Linked DNA regions of Drosophila melanogaster. The protein of the gene in region 1 interacts with the protein of each later gene in a pairwise test. Each region holds a gene or a part of one and is shown on either strand. Other genes may lie near its edges.

Region 1 (8,045 bases):
CCTCCTAGCGCAGGAGCATAATAACTCAGTCCCACGTAGACACTGGTGTTGGCAAACCAAATAAGGGTTATGATCAGGGTCTTCCGACGCATATTGGGTCCCCGAAACAAGTCCAATATCCCATAGTGGGTGGTCATTGAAGATTTGGTTTCCGCAGCCCTTGTGATGACAAGTTTTCGCTGCAACCGTTCCACAAAATCCCGATTTACGCGCACACCATTCACTCTGGCCATTACTTTGAGAATTTTAATGGCCCTCCTGGTTTTTCCCACGGCCATTAACCATCGTGGTGATTCCGGAAGCACGAAGAAGCAGGAGAAAAGCATCAGCAAAGGCATGGACACTGCCAAACTGAGTTCCCGCCAATCACGTACGATATAGATAACTCCGGCTAATACCACCAAGCCCAAGGAGTAGGCGATATTCGAGACGATGGTGCAAAAAACTCTCCTCTCCGGTCCCACCAGCTCAATGGCCAGTACATAGGGACTCGCCAGAATAGCTGGCACCGTCAGTCCCACCACAAAGCGCAGGCCCAACCAAGTGTAATAGTTCCAGGCAAAGGCACTGGCCGCACAGGCAATGATCTCGAGCAGCAGATAAGCGTAAAAGGATGGCCGCCTGCCCCACAGATCCACTAGATATCCAAATACATAGTTACCTAGCAATCCGCCAACACCGAAGACCACAAGCGCCAAAGTCACAAGGAAGCTGCGGTCGCACACCAGGTTCCACTGCAAGATATATGAGGAAATAATTCTAACATACCATATCCAATTGGAAAATCCCCACCTCTTGAACCACCGTACTTGAGTATATGGACTTGTCGTAGTGCCAGCCATGTTGGCACGGCACCACCTGCGTCGTATCCGGCTGCAACTTGAGCAAATCCTCTGCCTGTTGTCGCAACAAATCCGGAGGAGGTCGATACTCAAGATAGCGCACTATATCGGTGTAATTTCTCGAGTACATGGAACACTCGGCATAGGCTCCATTGCGATTACGCGGAATGCTCAGGTTCTTAACAAGCTGCACATAGTCCTGCGTCCAGGGCTCCAGCTCAGGAACGCGACAAAAGTGCTGAGGTGTGGCCGCTATGAACAACTGGCTAGAAAATAATCATTTTAGATAATTATGAAAATTTTCTGATGAGGTACCTTTAAGAGGCGAAAAGGTAGACCCCAAATGATGCTATCGCATGGATGTGAAAATCCCATTAAGATTTCTTTTTCAATATTATTATTATAGAATACCAAAGAAGGATGACCAACCTATATGCGTGGAAGGCACAGGGCAGCGCGGCGGGCAATAGAACGGAACAGATGATGACCTTCTGGTAGAGACCAAAGGAGCCCACCTCCCGCAGCACCTCGTCGAAATCCATGTCCGCCCGTTAGCCAGACGCTCGCGCAACTGACGATCGCGCCGATCACCTTGTCCACATTCAATCCAGTCCAGGAACTGGTGGCGCTGCAGGGGCTGATTGAACATAATTACATTACGGCCTCTCGTGCGCATTAATTAATTGGACACCGCGGTGTGGACAAGGTTCGAACTAGTTGAGCGCGCCCCAATCCCAGCCAAAATCCCAAACCAAAGCGAGCACTCGACAATGTTGGATTAGTTAGTCGTCTTGTATTTCTTTCCGGCTAAGGTGGCACTGGGCACATAAAATTAAGTTACATTTCTAAAACTGGAATAGAAGCTATGGATCATAATGACCAGTCTAATTGCGAGACAATCCGATAATGGTCAGTATGTACATGAAGATGTTAATAATGTCCAGGTAGAGGTTTAGAGCGGCGAAGATGTATTCCTCAGGACTGATGGAGTACTTATGATTACCACCCAGCATCAACTGGGTATCGTACACCAAGTAAACGGAGAAGAGCAATGCTCCCAAGGAGGCATAGACCAGTCCGATCACCTTGCCCGGTATGAAGATAGCGATTATACCAAAAATGATGAAGACCACCAGACAGGCCACCAACACTCCTCCGCACATCGTAAAATCGTATTTGGTCTGCAGGGCAAACAGGGTGAGTCCCAGGGCCACCGCGGCCGTAATTCCCACTGCCATCAGGACCTCATCAGCCTCAAACTGTCCGGCGACCATACCCAGAAGGAACGACTCCGCCACGGTGAACAGGAAAAGAAAGATGAAGTTAAGAGGCGTCTTACGGCGTACACTTTCGCAGCAGGCCATACAGATCATGGTCACGATAAGAACGGCCTGAGTTTAAAAATTGGATATATTTGTATTCAATATTTAGCATAAAAGTCGTAAAAACTTACCAAGGCTATCCAAAACAGTGCCGGATTTTTTTGCACCCATTCCTGCGAAGCTTTCGAGAACGTAAATACGCTAACAAAACCGAAAGTGATCAGCAATTGGCACTAGAAATAGAGCGCGATATCAAAATTAGATTGCAGGAAGTCAATAAATCTTGAAGTTTTAAAGTGACCCAAAGCAGACAAGTAGTGAAGCAAATACCTTTATTTTTGGACAATTTAAATTGATATTTTCTTTTTCAGTTCAAATATCAGCACTTACCATCAATATCAAGTAGACCTTTCGAATAAATCCCTTCCGGATGCTCTGGTCATCGAAGGCGAAGCTCTTGTCCGCTTCCGCATCTGTGTATGCGCCAGTTTCATCGCCTGTGTGGTTGGAAGACAATTCAAGGAAGCAGGAAAGTTAATGCAATGACTAACCGTACTGAAAATGATTGTCGCTGCTCATGGCTAAATTGCTATGACTAAACTTTAGTCACTTAAGTTACGGTGCTCTCTTTGCCCGACTGCCGGCAGCGTGCTAGTGTTTCAGCTTAATGGAACCGAATCGCCCTTTCTAGGTGTTCCCATATGGACGTATGAGTTGAGATTAGCCGGTTACCGGCTCTTATCACAGCCCCACACTTCTACTCTAGATAAGATTTGTGTATTGATGTCGGTGAGTAACTGATATTGCCACCATACAATTTCAAAATGGTTGTTCACTCTCCCTTCGATTGGGTGAATCACTGTTTTTGGGCTCATAACGAAACCTTTTCAGCTGTCTTATCAGATGAAAATGCGCCGAGAGAGATATATTTTGTTGGCTCTTACTGAGAGAAAACGATGCAGTCAATAAGCTTTATACAATAGCCAAATCGATTATCTAATCTAAAGCACCTTTCCGTAGCCAATTTGGTTTGGTTTCAGCCCAATCCGGGCGGTACTTACCTTGCTGGTAGTGATACATTTTATAGCTACGCCCTGCTGGAATTCACACGAACTACTGAACAGGTGGCCGGGTCAAACGCATGATATGGGGCCAACCCGAAATTAAAACACCCGGACTTCTTTCTGTGGTGGTGCAGATAACAAAGTTAACTTAAGCAATGATAAAGCAAAAATGCAGACGATAATGGTCTGGAGTGTAGAAGTAATCCAACCAACGGCGTCGCTCTGAAGTCGCAGACTAAAGTTGCATCTGGTGGTGGCTGGCTGGTTGAACTGGATGAACCACTGACGGAAGCCCTACAATGCAGGGGTCTGTGGCTTTAATAAATAGATGCGCTTTATTGTTGACTTTAAACTCAGTGTCGCTGCAGGGATTACAATGTTCGGTACTTGATTCATAGTTGAAAATCGGGATTCCTTGGTTATTACACACGGTTAAGTTTTATGTGTTAACAACTGCAAGCCAACTTGCTTATATGTATATTTTTACATAAATATGTTTATACGTGACTATTTATTGTTGTTTCGTTTATCTGAATGGCATATCATTTGGTATACATACATATATATAATTTTTTTATTTTTAAATTTGGAAATATCCACTTGGTTTGCGCCTCAACTTAAGCAACAATAAAACATACATAACAAAAAGTAAGTAGTTCATATAGCCTTAGTTGACATTTAGAACTAGAAGGAAACGGGGAAAATGGGCAAACACAACACGAAGTAGATAGATTTGTAAGTATTTGAGTAATTCGTTAGTTGAAGATTACCTCCACTGGGGGAGCACACCGATGAGATTACGCGACAACAATATTCGTGTATTCCAGGTTACTGAATAACCCGATTAAGCTGCAAACAATATTTGGAAATAGAGCGGAACTTAGTCGCGCGATGCGCCGATTATAGTCAGAATGTACATGAAGATATTGATGATGTCCAGGTAGAGGTTTAGTGCCGCAAAGATGTACTCCTCGGGACTGATAGAGTATTTGTGCTCGCCGCCCATCATTAACTGTGTGTCGTAGATGAGATAAACGGAGAAGAGCAGCGCTCCAATCGAGGCGTACACCAGTGTTATGATCTTTCCCTTTACAAAGATGGCCACGATGCCGAAGATCAGGAACACCACCATGCAGGCGATCAAAATACCGCCCATCATAGTAAAGTCGTACTTTGTCTGCAAGGCGAAGATCGTTAGGGCCAAGCAAACCGCTGCTGTTATGCCCACCGCCATGAGAACCTGGAAAACAGATATCGTATCACTTTACTACATATCGTAATTAAATCGAAGTACTCACCTCTTTCGGAGCATATTTGGTTGCGGAAACTCCCATTAAGAACGACTGAGCTGCTGTAAACAGACCCAAGAATATGAAGTTCGTCGGTGTTTGGCGGCGCACACTTTCGCAGCAAGCCATAGACAGCATGGTTACTAACATTACGCCGAGGGCAACCCAAAAGAGCCACATGTTATTCCTGGCAAAGGTTTTAGTGCCCTCGTGGTATACAAACAGGGCAACAGCTCCAAAAGTGACGATTAGTTGTCCCTAATGACACAGAAATGATAACTTATTGTACATGCCTTCTATGCAGAATTATCTAAAGCTCACCATTAGAATCAGGTACACCTTACGTATGAATCCGCGACGGATGCTTTGGTCGTCAAACGAGAAGTTCTTGGGCTGGCTCTCCGGATCATCGTAGGCTCCGTAGCCGCCAGCAGATGGTGGTGGTTGGATAAATCCCGGCTGGGGAGCATAACCTCCCGGTGGAGGCCCCTGTCCGTAGGGCTGTGGATAGGGTTGAGCACCTCCTTGTGCATAGGGTGGGTAGCCTTGCGGCGGTCCTTGAGGTGGATAGCCGCCCTGAGGTGGATATCCACCATATCCTCCCTGCGGGGGATTACCGCCGCCATAGTTGTACTGCTGGTTGGGATCTGCGAAATAAGACATCTCGTTTTAGTTTGTCATCTAAAACGGTGCTACCAACGCGTTCGCTACAGCAATCTGTCTACCAAGAACTGTAAAATCTAAATGAAACGCTTCGCCGTGACGAAGAGATGCGGTAAACCAAGAAACAATCTCGAGCAAATATGTACATACAACCATGATAAGAAGGGACAAGTACGATGTGTAAAGAGAGAGAGGTAATGGAAATGAATCAGCTCTGGGCAATTACTGAGCATTCAACGGGTCGACAAGCCCCGGGACGAACAAAAGCATGCGATCAGAAAACGGGTAAGCTGTAACACTCGCTTAGAAGTTAAGAAGATTGAACCTTGGTATTGGGGATACTGGGGAACACTTTGCCAGGACATTCTCGAGGGACTTCGCTCTGATTTCTATGTAATTCCGAAACCGCTGTGGAGTAAACTTAGATCCAAAAAGAATGTGTTAGTACGGCTTGTCCTTATTCCACTCACCTTGCATTGTTTCGTTGTTGTTTTACCTGCAAAGACACGATGATAAGCAATCATTAGCTAATTTAATTAGTGTCTAAGAAATGTGCACACCTTTGGTGGCATGCAACTTTAATTATCAATCAATTTGCCACTATAGTAATGCCTGAGAAACTTCGGCACCGTTTCGTTTGTTGTGGCCCCCATGACGTGTACCTCTCAAGCTTTCTTGTGTGGGTTCTCTGAAAATAGCTGGGGCCATTTATGAACCTTACCTACACGCTGAACTGCGAGCTTAAGCGCTTTAACGTAGTCGCAGCTATTAAATTAGTTCAGCCGGAGCACCACCAGCGCAAATAATACATACACAGCAGCTCGGTGTAGGAAAAGTGGTGACTCACTTTTGGAAATTGCCAGCTTCTCGAAATTACCGGGAAACCACACTATTATAATTTTCTTTGACGTGACCTACTATCTTCCCATTATTCAAATTATGCTCTTTGGATGACTAATTACCTCTGGATTACGTTGCTATTTGATCAAAACAAACAATTGAATGTTGTTTTTCTGAATATTTGTTTTTTTTTTTTGCTATAAATTAACAGAGATGTGCCTGCTGACTGCTATCGGAACGCAGCTGTAATTATCGATGGTGGTGTAACTAATTTTTTTAGAAAGTGGTACATTTACAGACTACATTAAACTCGGCTTAAACATTATTGCGTTTAAATTTTATTTGACACGTACCACACTATGGCGCATTTTCTGTAAATTATATACTATCGTTTATATATGTTTAAAACATACAGAGTATTGTAATTAAACTAAGAATGCTTCACCAGATGTTGAGAAATGCTACAGATGCTTTTGTTTTTTAAGCTTCTCAACTACGGCACTTCTGTAGATTTTCTTATGCTCATTATTTTTGAGATTATTCTGCACTTACTAACTCTTATACTATACTATACTCCTTATTTACTAATATTATTTTTCAGCACTAGCTAAGCGCAACTTAATTCATAGGATGCTGGACATGTGACGTCACAAAATCAGAAATGCGCCACCCTGAAGCACACATGGAACAATCGATATATATCGATAGCCGCGATAGAAATCCTCTAGACTGCACCGCGCTGGTGGCATGTGCAATAGTACACGACGCTCGTGAAATCAATTCGTTTGTGTATTAAAAGGGCAAGATCTAGCTGGTAAGTCGAGTGCACTCGAATGCACCATTGAAATAACCAATAGGGGAAGAGACAGGAAGTGAATAGAATCGGTAAATGATCAGATAAAAGACCGCAAAGTTTAGGTTATGTGCGAGCCGCTAGACAAAGAGTGTTTCTCTGTCCCCGGAAATATTTGTGGACATATGGCTATTGGAGGAGGAGACTGGGTGACTGAACTGCAGTCCGGAAGACAATATCACTTATTCGCAAATGGGGCACTTCATCAGCCAAGTGCTATTTATAAAACCATGACGCAACGCACACAATACTCCTCCTTTTTCGCCTGTTGCTCGCTTATCGAAACTGTGTGGTCTACGTTCTGGTTTTGTGACCCTCTTGTAAAATATACAACCCTCCCTTCCTTACAGCCGTTTTTGTGCATTCCAAGATGGTCGAGGACAAAGAGCAAGTGGCCAACGGGGAGCAGGTCTCCAAGAAGGGAGCCAAAAAGCTGGCCAAGGCCGCTAAGGTGAGAATCTTTGTTTTGGGGACGTGGCGTTTTGTTTTTCTTGAACCTCTGATAACAGCTTTAATCTCTATGTGTACAGAAAGCCGAACAAAAAGCGGAGAACGCCTCCACCGCGGCGGCCAATAACGCTGGTGGCGATTCTGCGGAGGATCACGCCGCCGGAAGATATGGCCTCTCGGAAATGATCCAATCCAAGGACAAACGCAGTGAACGCAACTTTGTCCCGGTTTCGGAACTAAGCGGTCAGGTGGGCAAAGGACTGGTCTGGGTGCGAGGACGCGTCCACACTTCGAGAGCCAAGGGAAAGCAGTGCTTCCTCATCCTGCGCCAGCAGAGCAGCACGGTGCAGTGCATCCTGGCTGTCGGTGATGTTATCTCCAAACAGATGGTCAAATTTGCGGGAAAGTAAGTTATAAATATTCCCTCGTATATCTTAAGTTTATCTTAAGAGCCGTAACCCAAAAAAGCACAATATCGAATTTGAATTGCGCAGGCCATATAGATATTTTCATCATACTTTGATAAGATATCGTGAAATCAATTAAAGGTTTATGAAATGATAAACATTGCTTAGAATTTTTGTTGTTGCAAATTTAATAATTCATTTAATAATTCAAAAACGTCTTTATTTTTTCAGTATCCCTAAGGAGAGCATTATTGATATCCAGGCCAAGCCAGTGGCGGTGTCTAGCAAGATTGAATCCTGCACAGAGCAGTCGCT
Region 2 (9,910 bases), on another chromosome or scaffold:
CCGCAGCGGATCCATTTCCTTGCACTCCAAACGACACCCTTCCTCCTCGCCGCCATTTTCCATCTGGGACATTAGCTGCGGCGGCATCTTTTCGTTTTGTATTTGCTTTGAAAGGCGATTTAGAAAATCGGATTTGAGTATTTCCGGCGAGATGTCGCCTCACAATTTGGTTAATTGCAACTAGACAGGACCACCGGTCTCCAGGGAAGACATCCCTGAGCAGCGTCAACAATTTGGTTAGCTTGTGTTGCACACAAGCTATCTGAGTCGAAGGTTTTTCGGAACGAACTTTAAGTGGAAAAGAAATATTGAATGTTGAACTGAAACGTCAAGCCAAGCCCGTATGATGGATTTTTTCCCCATTTAAAATATCCCCGTATATTCGATTGCAAAGAAAAGTTGTATTGTATCATAAATAATATCATTCACCACAGTCAAATATAAATGAAATCCATATACTTTATTCAAGCCTCACGATTCCCTAAAGGGAAAGGCACATCATCATTTCAATTCAGCGTTTAAAAAGTGAAAATGGCTCAGCAGCAGCTAATTAGTCAATGATGCACAAATCCGCTGATCAAAATCCGCTCAGTTGGATATATATTTAATTTATTTTCGATGGAAGGAAAGGAAAACCAATGGGGGGCAACTACGGCAAAATTGATTACGTTTAATGCGAAAATTATAAATATGAATTAAATTAATCAAATTTAATAATAATTTCAATTATATTTAAGTTAATGAGTAGTACGTCAGTAACATAGTTTAGCTTTAAGTCAGAACCAAAAAAATTAATCATTTAGATAGGATTGGATTAAACTCAATGTGTGTATGGATTTAATCTGATCGGCAGCAGCTCGCACTCCTCCTGCTCCTCCTGCGCCTATTGCTCCTCAACCGGCTTGGGACCATGGTGACTGGATAGCTGGACAACTGGACAACTGGGCTGGCCTTCACTTGTGCGCAATGGGAATCAGTGTCTCGCCGGCGGTGAGTGCTGGCAGGGGGGCGTCCACGGTCAGGACTCCGTCCTTGCTGAGGGACGAGCGGATGGACTCGGGATTGACGCCCTTGGGCAGCAGGAACTCCCGATTGTACTCCCTGTACACGCTCTTTGTGTCCGACTTCTCCTCGTGCTTGGCGTGCACCTAGTCGAAAGGAATCAGATATCCATGTTAGATAAACTCTGCAAAACATAACCATCCTGAGCAGAGACTTACCAATAGCTTCTGGTCGACGGTTTTCACAACAATTTCCTCGGGCGCATACTGGCTGACATCGAAACGCAGCTTCAGCACTTTGTTATCGCCCTCATCCTGCAAAGGGGGATATATAAGTGTTATCCTTTGGCAACCAAGAGTAGATTCCTTGCATTGCTTACCTGGATCAAGGGTGAGCTAATGTCGGAGACGTAGTTCTGTTGCTTTGGGATTCGGGATGGCAGCGCCGAGTTTGTCGTTGAGCTGCAAATAAGTTGAGACGAACATATTGTACATGAGTATTGCAGTTGAGTGTTGAAGCGAAACTTAAGAACAAGTAGACTCGAAATAAAACCAAAGGTGTTAGGGTTGCGTAGGTGAGGTAGGAACCTGGTGGAGGAGTTTGTGGTTGTTGTAGTAGTGGTTCTGGTGGTCCTAGTGCTGCGAAAGGTATTTTGCAGTGTGCGCGTAAAGGCCTCCATGCTGATGCTTCTCCGGGATGAAACTGATCCGGACGTAACGAACCCAACTTAAATGAAGCCGCGATGCTCGACGCCTGTCTAATAATAGATCTGGCTTCCGCTTGAAAGCGATGTACGTATGTATGTATGTACATGTGTACGGATCTGGGGGCAGCAGCTGTCACCCTCGAAACATAAATCTCCCCATATGTCTGTAATAATTTCTATTTTAAGGAACTACCCATAAGGGAATTGAGAATTAAGGCTTCATGTATCTAGACTACAAATAAAACTATTCCTTGCTTCCTTGAAATTGTATGCATACATATGTATCTATGTATGTACATATGTATGTATGGATCGCATCAAAACGGTTTTCTATTATGAAAAACTGCCTATACTTACAACTTTTATAATTTTATCTTTTAGTTTTAAACGAACTGTATGCATTTCTAGTTATGTATTTGCGTCTATACCGGGCTCAAAATTGTTTATAAATAAATGTTATAGTGTATATTTGGCGATTAACATGCGATGCATCTGGTAACGAGTTTCTAGTTTAGTCTGTGTGGATTGCAATAACATTAAACCAATACATTAGTTACCAAACAATAAGGGGTTGAGTGAATGAAAAAAACATTGAGGATAAACAGAAAATAAAAGTTTAGGTTGTAAACTTTCTACGTTATTGTACCTGGTAGTTGTTGTTTTTTTAGTAGAGCTTTTGTTTTAAGAGAGAGGAGAGGAGATTATTATTATGTGGAAATTATTGCGGTTGTTTAATATTTCCAAGCGGCAAGAAAGAGAAAAATAGATAGAAATTGTTTATAATGAGTTAGACAAAAAGATAACTACACATTATCGTACAAGGGTGAGCAATTTTTTAACTATTTTATAAAGGTACAGCCTTGACTCGATATTAAAGTTCTGGAATTTTTAACAATGATCAATGAAAATTTCAAGCCATTCATATGTTTTCTTGTAATTAATATTTAATCATTTTTGGTACATGTTTCTTATGCATATGTACATATATTAATGATAACTCCTTTGTTTTCCGCACTTCCAGTCCCCAATTTCCTTTAGAATGCAAGTTTATCTATTAAGATCCAAGTGTTTCAAGCATAGCATCTAAAAAAAAAGAATATGTATATTACCTACAATAGAGGAAAGTATGCATAAAATATTTACATATTTACCCAGGAAATAATTCATTGGTCCATAATTGTTCACTTTGTATTACATTTTGTCGCACTGCTTTTTCACAATAATTTTTATTTTTAGTTCAAATTAGTAAATCTACACTTATTAAAATTTTGTGATTTCATTTTAAATAATATTGTATTCTTCACTTCACTCTCACATCAATTGATAGGTAAGTCGTTTTTTTTTAAATATTTTTTATGGTTCACCTTAATTTGCATTCTTAGCTTACGGGATTTGATTGACCGTTAAGCCGCTGTGCGTGTCGGCGATGAAGCCAAAATGTATGTGTGTATCTGTGTGTGTGTGCATGCGAGCGAGAGTCGTTGATAAGCGGCCATCAATTGGCACTCCGCAAATTCTGAGCAGAGGCAGAGAAAGCTTATCAATCGGAGCCGAAACGTGAACGTGCGTGGGCTTATTGGCGACCTTGCAATGTGCTTTGCGAGGTTGATCGCCCCTCGAAGAGAGAAATCAATAGCGCGCTAATGATAAGTACCAATAACCGTTAGCCGCCTGGCCAAAGTTTCTTTGGACAGCATGAAGAGGCACCTGCCCTCCCACTCTGGCAGCCGCTCTCACTCCCACCCTCTCCGGCCAGCCCACGTTTTTACATGTGTGTGAGTTGTGTGTGTGTGGTGCGACTACAATATCTCGCTGGCATCTGATGACAATGATGTCATGCATATTTTTTCGTTATTGAAAAGCCAAACGAAAGGAAACCAAAGAAGAACGAAAATAAACACGGGCGCGAGAGGCGGCCAAAAAACCAGAACAAGCGCAAACAAAATGGCTCTCTTTAGTTGTTTGCGGTGTACGCGTGTGTGCGTGTGTGTGTGAACAAATGTCGAATTAAAATATCGATTATCGACGACGATCGGCGTTTTGTCATCGATTGAAATCGAATTGAATAGCATCGAGTCGAAGCGCAGCGCAATAGCTAAAAATTGACATGATATCATCGCAGTTCGCTGCTCATTTGAATTATCAGCATCCAGCCAACAATATTGGCAACTAAATCGCCGCAGCGTGTGCTCATCGCAACTGAAAACTGTCCGTGTGTGCGAAAGCTTTTCGCACAGATCTATTTGCTGGTTAAATATGTGCATATGTATGTATGTATGTACGATCCTAGCGCACTTATTTGTTTAAACTGTGCGCACACACAATGAGTCTATAAATTAGGCAAACCGTTGGCATTGCCTATGTTTGGTAGCCATCCCATCCCATCCGATCCGATCTGGCCAATACAATTTCCATGCATTTGCATGAGATAATCGCACCAATCTATTTTACTGGGAACCGCATCCAAATCCATCTGAATCCGCACATTGTTCATATCTGAAGGCGCCAGCATTGATGTGCGGTCTTTGCTTATGGCCAAGTTGGTTAAATGAGGCCCTGCACTACACACAATCTATCGTTAGTATGTGACAGTACGTACATACATACACATATGTATGTATATACATACATATGTTCAAGAAAGTTTTATTTAAAATGTGCAAATGGCCTGAACAGCTTTTGGCAGCTACGCAGGAATTGCATGTTTGTAAACATGTTTTTCTTATGCCATAATAATAAAATATACATTGTTGGGAATGTATCCAGTTAAAAGCATAAACTATTGCTTCAAGTGGCAACTTCGGTAGGGCATAGATACACCTACCTGTATGGATTTATTGCCCTGTATATGGGGCGTGCGTTTATTCCGTGCTGAGTCATTCAGATATCACGCAGCGCTTCAATTGACAACACGCCACAGCCACAGCCAAGCCGCTTAGGTCAAAGGTTGCGGACAGTGGGCAGTTATGGGCGAATGATTGAATTATTTGGCAAGTATATATCCAATACTACTACTAAGCTACTAAACTACGTGGCCAATCTGTGGCGATTATTAGGCTAATCGCCCGAAGCAAGCCCTGGCGCACAACTTATGCCGCCACTGTGAGTTTCCCTTCATTTCCAATTAAATTTGCAGCCAGGAGGGCACAATACCAATTTGGGTTAATTTCCTTTCACTGCCAACTTTGACGTTGAATGGGCAAAGTTGTGGAGAGGAGCGCTACCAAGTTCTGAAACAGACGGAAGTCTGGTGGGGGGGAGGGGGGTGGAGTCGTAACATTTCTGTTGTGGCCATGCAAATGCAGTGGCGACCATGGCGAAGGCAACAACAAATAGAGTCCATCGGTTCGATTGCGTCATACGGCGAGGTCGTCCCAATAGCAACCAAAACTGGCGCCCACGCAACGCAACTCCAATGGAAAGGCTAACGAGACGCGCAACCGCGACGGCGTCGGCGACATAGTATTTGCCATTCGCCTTTGGGGCATTGTTTGTTTATTAATCGCTGATTTGGGCAATAAACCTATGTTCATTGAAAATGCCACTCGTAACATTCAACTGGAATTTCTCTCTCTCCCTCTCTCTGATTCGTATGAATATGCGAGGGTGTTAAAATACCGCCGAATCACTTAATTGACTTGCAAATGGAAATAGATTGCTAGGTAAACGCGTTTGTCACTTATGTATGCTTTAAAAACAAGTAACTACAAATGGAAATAGTTAGAGATTTAATGAACATTATTCATGTGTGCCACCGATCGTTTCAATGCTTTGCGTTTTCAAATATTTAATTTTGCTCGCAGAGACCAGATTTTAATATCTTATCTCATTATCAACAATTACATTTTTCTGCTCAGCTAGAAACCCACACACACACACACATATAACGGAATATCTTGGCACAGGTGATTCTCAAAGTTCGAAAAATTCCGTTATGCCCTACATAACGGTTGCATAAACCGTATGGGACTCGAGATCGAGCGAAAGGGGAGGGCACAAGACGCTGGCTAGCCATGTGCCGGGGCGGGGGAGGGGGATTTACTAGCGGGTGGCGGGCAGCAGATACACATGTGTTTCTTGGCCGGAGACAGCGGCGGAGAATTTAGAACTGGTGACTCATCCTCCCCCAGAGCGACGGCAAAGAAATACACATAGTGTATCTGGGGCGAGAATTGAAGCGGGCCGCTCGCCTCCTATGAGGCCCACTGTTTAGTACATACATATGTATGTATGCACGTATGTACATATGTACATACGTAGGAGAATCTGTGGGTGAAGAGCTCCAGACCAGTGGGCGATGTGGCAAGATGTGCGCCTATATTTAGAGGAGCCAACAACGAGGCGATGAGTCGAGCGATTCGGGATTGGGTTCCATCGCAGTACACCCGGTAGAATCAGGCTATGTGGAATTATCCCAGTGTTGGGATCCCACTTGTATCACTATTACGCTTACCTGGTGGACTCGAAGAAGTTCGCCTCGCGGTTCATCAGCTCGTGACGGAACTTGGCCATCTCCTCCTCCATTTTGCGCATCTCGGAGTCGAAGCGCTCGCGGATGTTGCTGAACTCCGTGTCGATGACGCTGAAGTCGCCCAGCTTGATGGGGATATTCCTCTTGTTAGCCTCGGCCATTGTTGTGCTGTTTGTGGTGGTTTATTTGGTGGTTGCTTCGCTAGATGGAATCTCCAATCTCTTCGCTGTACACTGTATACCGTATATACTGTATATACTGTATACCGTTCTATTATTCTCTGTTCTGTTCTGTTCTGCTCAACGCGCTTTCGAGCTTGTTCACTTGCTAATCGACGGAGCAACCAAAAAAAAAGGGAACTCGATGGGTTTTCTATATGTATTCGAAACTCAAGACGTTCAAGTGTGTGATTTCGGTTGGACGTATCGCACAGATAGCCGCGTTTCAATTTCTGAACTGTTTTGCATTCACAGTGTGTCTTTGCTTTTATAGCTTTCGTACCGATTGTACTTCGATTGCCGCTGCGCAGCAGTGTGGCGATATCGATAGACCGATGAAGCCGCATTTAGTCATCGATTTGCGGATTTGATTATGTTTCTATTGCCATTGGATCAAAAAGAACTTCTATCCGCAAAGGGAATTGTTTAAGCGTACTTTAACCACTAATCGTTAGCGGACCACCCAAAACACTATATTCGCTGTATTGATTTTGTATTTTATGGAAATAATGACGCACGGGGAACACATTTAGAAGTGAAACAATAGTTGTAAGACAAATTTGGTTTATACAAAATGACCGAAAACAAGGAAGCCATGATTTATTTTCCGTTAATAAGCTAGTAATTCATAAATGCAATGAAATAACATAACACATTTCAAAGCTCCTAAAAAACTTTCTAGGAACAAGTGTTCAATTAGCAACAATTAATTAGTTGATGATCAACTTGATCTTGATAAGTATGCTTAAAACTTCTCGCGTGGGAGCCATTCAGTCATGGAAGTGAGTTCCTCGAACTGTGATTCCAATTGCATCTGGTTCAGCATTTGTGTGCTGTGAGTGCGAGTGGAAAGTGTGAGTATGAGTCGTGTTGAGTTAACCGGTTAACCGATCAACGCTTCCTACCGTTTTGGGAAATGATCTTCGGTATAGAGAGAAAGAGAGAGAGAGAGAGAGAGAGTTGCACATTGGTGGAAAGTGCATTTTCCGTCCTGCGGTGGGTTGGCATTATCCATCGTCCTAAAATAGAACATCTATGGCGTGATGGCCCACGATATCTTGTCCATATTCGCGGGGTTACTTACACCCAGAGCTCATCATCATTAAGACCTTAAATCAAAAAGCCAATTCCGCCCATTGTGCGAATCGATAAATCCCAATATTAGACCGGGTGGGTGGAGAACGTTGGCGGCCCAAATACACGCAGAAAAATATATGTCATATATACATATGTAAATTTAAATATCTCTATGCTGAGCTAAGATTGGAAATTGTACTGTTGTAAGCTTGTTAGCTATAATAGGATATGTTTCCTAATCTAACAGAGAGGCATTATAGTATCTTAGTATCTGTGTCGTTTTCTGCCAGTGTGCTTGGCCATATCCATGGTACTACCCACTCCGCCGCATCGGTTTGTTTGTAAACAAATGCGAAATGACTCAGCCGCGTGACATTGGCGGTCGGAGTCGAGAATCGGGAATCGAGCCAAGTCGAGTCCATTCGATTCGATTCAATTCCTTTTAGGGAGCGTCGGCCAGGGGAATTAAAATTTAAATTGAAATTAATGAGAGCCGGATTGCAAAGTTGCAACTGCAGAAAAAATGTGCGATATATATTCATAAGTTTTATGAACCATATGCATATTTAGCTAGACAAACTAGATTTTTCTTCAACTTAACAATTGCATCTCTCATCCATAAGAAAACTCATTAGCTGGAAATTTGATATCTTTTAAAGCTGTTATTGCCTGCACATAACTTACATTCTTTTGTTTTTTTTTTTTAAGTGCAAGTGCGACATATTAAAATGCAATATTTTGAATCCGTGACCGTTTTACTGCTCGAAATTCCATCGGGGACAACGGCAGTTGTGCCATCAAAATAATTATAGACTTAATCACGAATTTCGAAAATAAAACGACAATCATCGTGGCTTAACGGCTGAGGTGTTTTCATTGTACATCCATACATACATGTGTACATATGTACATATGTATTTTTCACAGCGCCCACATGCTCGCAATGGCTAATGGCTAATGCCCCCTGTCCAAACAACAAACTCATTTTCATCAATAATCTCGACCTTGAAGTCCCCAGTGTCCCCACAAAGCATACATATCGGTATTCAAACAAAATTAATTTTTGAAAAGAGGATTCCAAGTTTGCACATTCGTGCACGTTTCAGTCTTAATTCAATTGTATTTTGTGCCTTTTCAAATCATTCAAATCAATTTTGTTTGATTTCATAAATTCCAATGATCTAGGTGGATCTAATAAATATTGTAGGAATCATCTAGAAACATGAGTGTGCAGTATGTGTATTATTGTTTTGCCAAGCCAACTGAAAGAACGTACATATTGTACATACATATGTACATACGAATGTACAAATCTCGTGAAGATCGACAAGAAATTGGGAAAACAAATTTTCCCCACGTCACCAGAGAATTCTCGACGAAGCTAAAGCAGAGCAAGTGTATATACATATATTTATATATATATATATAAGTGTATATATATAAGTGCTCTAGTCATTTGCCGGCATGTCATCCCACTTAAACTCATAGTCCATTCCAAATCGAAAAAAACAAAAACAAAATAAAACGAAATGTATAGCTAGCCAGCGAGCCAGCAGCCACCTAGCCACCCCCTCGCAGTCAGAAATCAATCAAAATTTACTCGCGATGATTTAGCATGGAATTTTTGGTCGACGATGAGCGCTCACTAATTTTTCAGCTCGACCAAATAGCGATCTACTCCTGCGTGGGCAGACTCATCCACTGGCGGCCAGTGGATGGCTTCTGCTTGACGACAGCATCGGAATATATGTCAGCCGTCGTGGTATTCAAACAAAGTATGCTTTCGCCCATGCGGATTGTTGGATTGTTGGACATGTATGTACATATTTATGTACATAAGTGTAAACGCGTATTACGTATACGTACGAGTGCAGCGCCTGTGCGGGCACTATTTAATTATAGGCGGGCAGATACACAAATTAAACTTTATGAAGCGCAAAAACGACAGTCGGCTATTTATTGTTCGAAACCGTAAGCCGTTCACGGCTTAAATCATTTTTGTTTAGCACCAGAGCCGTGAGTTGCTCAATTAAATTACACCCACAAAGCTGTAGCTGTAATTCAATTCCATTCTAGCCCGGTGACATATTTTTGAAATATATCCGCTGATGTCATGGATAGTGCGTCATCAAAATTTAAATTCAATAACAATGGACTAATAAATGAAGCAATTACCACAATTTTCCTACATATGCATATACAGAACATTTTGGTTTGGTTGTCTGTTTAATTGATAAATTTACAGCTAAGCAATTTATAAATACAAAAGGAAATTTAATAGAATTTGAAGAATTTTTAGGTAATAAAATAATTTATGTTCATATTACTGAAATGGAATTTATATATATATATATAATTTTTTGGTTTAGCACAGAAATGGCTGTAACAATGGCCATTTCAAAATCAAAAGTTTGAACTACGCGCGCATATAATCAC

What was found. The genes of interacting proteins can lie anywhere in the genome.
Region 2: the proteins of Nmda1 (region 1) and CG14207 interact in a two-hybrid assay, tested with the Drosophila melanogaster proteins (one large-scale study listed by BioGRID).

The regions. Positions count from the first base shown.
Region 1 is NT_033778.4:12,873,547-12,881,591, forward strand, and holds Nmda1 (N-methyl-D-aspartate receptor-associated protein), read right to left. Parts: upstream 6,253-8,045; 5' UTR 6,143-6,252; intron 6,111-6,142; exon of another isoform or gene 5,902-6,110; intron 5,828-5,901; exon of another isoform or gene 5,658-5,827; coding exon of another isoform or gene 5,651-5,657; exon of another isoform or gene 5,601-5,650; 5' UTR 5,546-5,600; coding exon 5,506-5,545; exon of another isoform or gene 5,181-5,505; coding exon of another isoform or gene 5,165-5,180; coding exon 4,839-5,164; intron 4,776-4,838; coding exon 4,527-4,775; intron 4,469-4,526; coding exon 4,109-4,468; 3' UTR 3,548-4,108; downstream 1-3,547. Other genes in the region: Balat (Beta-alanine transporter), read right to left, coding at 1-734, 793-1,108, 1,272-1,384; Lfg (lifeguard), read right to left, coding at 1,727-2,233, 2,296-2,397, 2,555-2,661, 3,226-3,244; AspRS (Aspartyl-tRNA synthetase), read left to right, coding at 7,244-7,324, 7,404-7,729, 7,962-8,045.
Region 2 is NC_004354.4:19,601,934-19,611,843, reverse strand, and holds CG14207 (uncharacterized protein), read right to left. Parts: upstream 6,646-9,910; 5' UTR 6,341-6,645; coding exon 6,162-6,340; intron 2,382-6,161; coding exon 2,355-2,381; intron 1,707-2,354; exon of another isoform or gene 1,682-1,706; coding exon of another isoform or gene 1,590-1,681; intron 1,464-1,589; coding exon 1,382-1,463; intron 1,317-1,381; coding exon 1,221-1,316; intron 1,149-1,220; coding exon 954-1,148; 3' UTR 571-953; downstream 1-570. Other genes in the region: tyler, read right to left, coding at 1-87.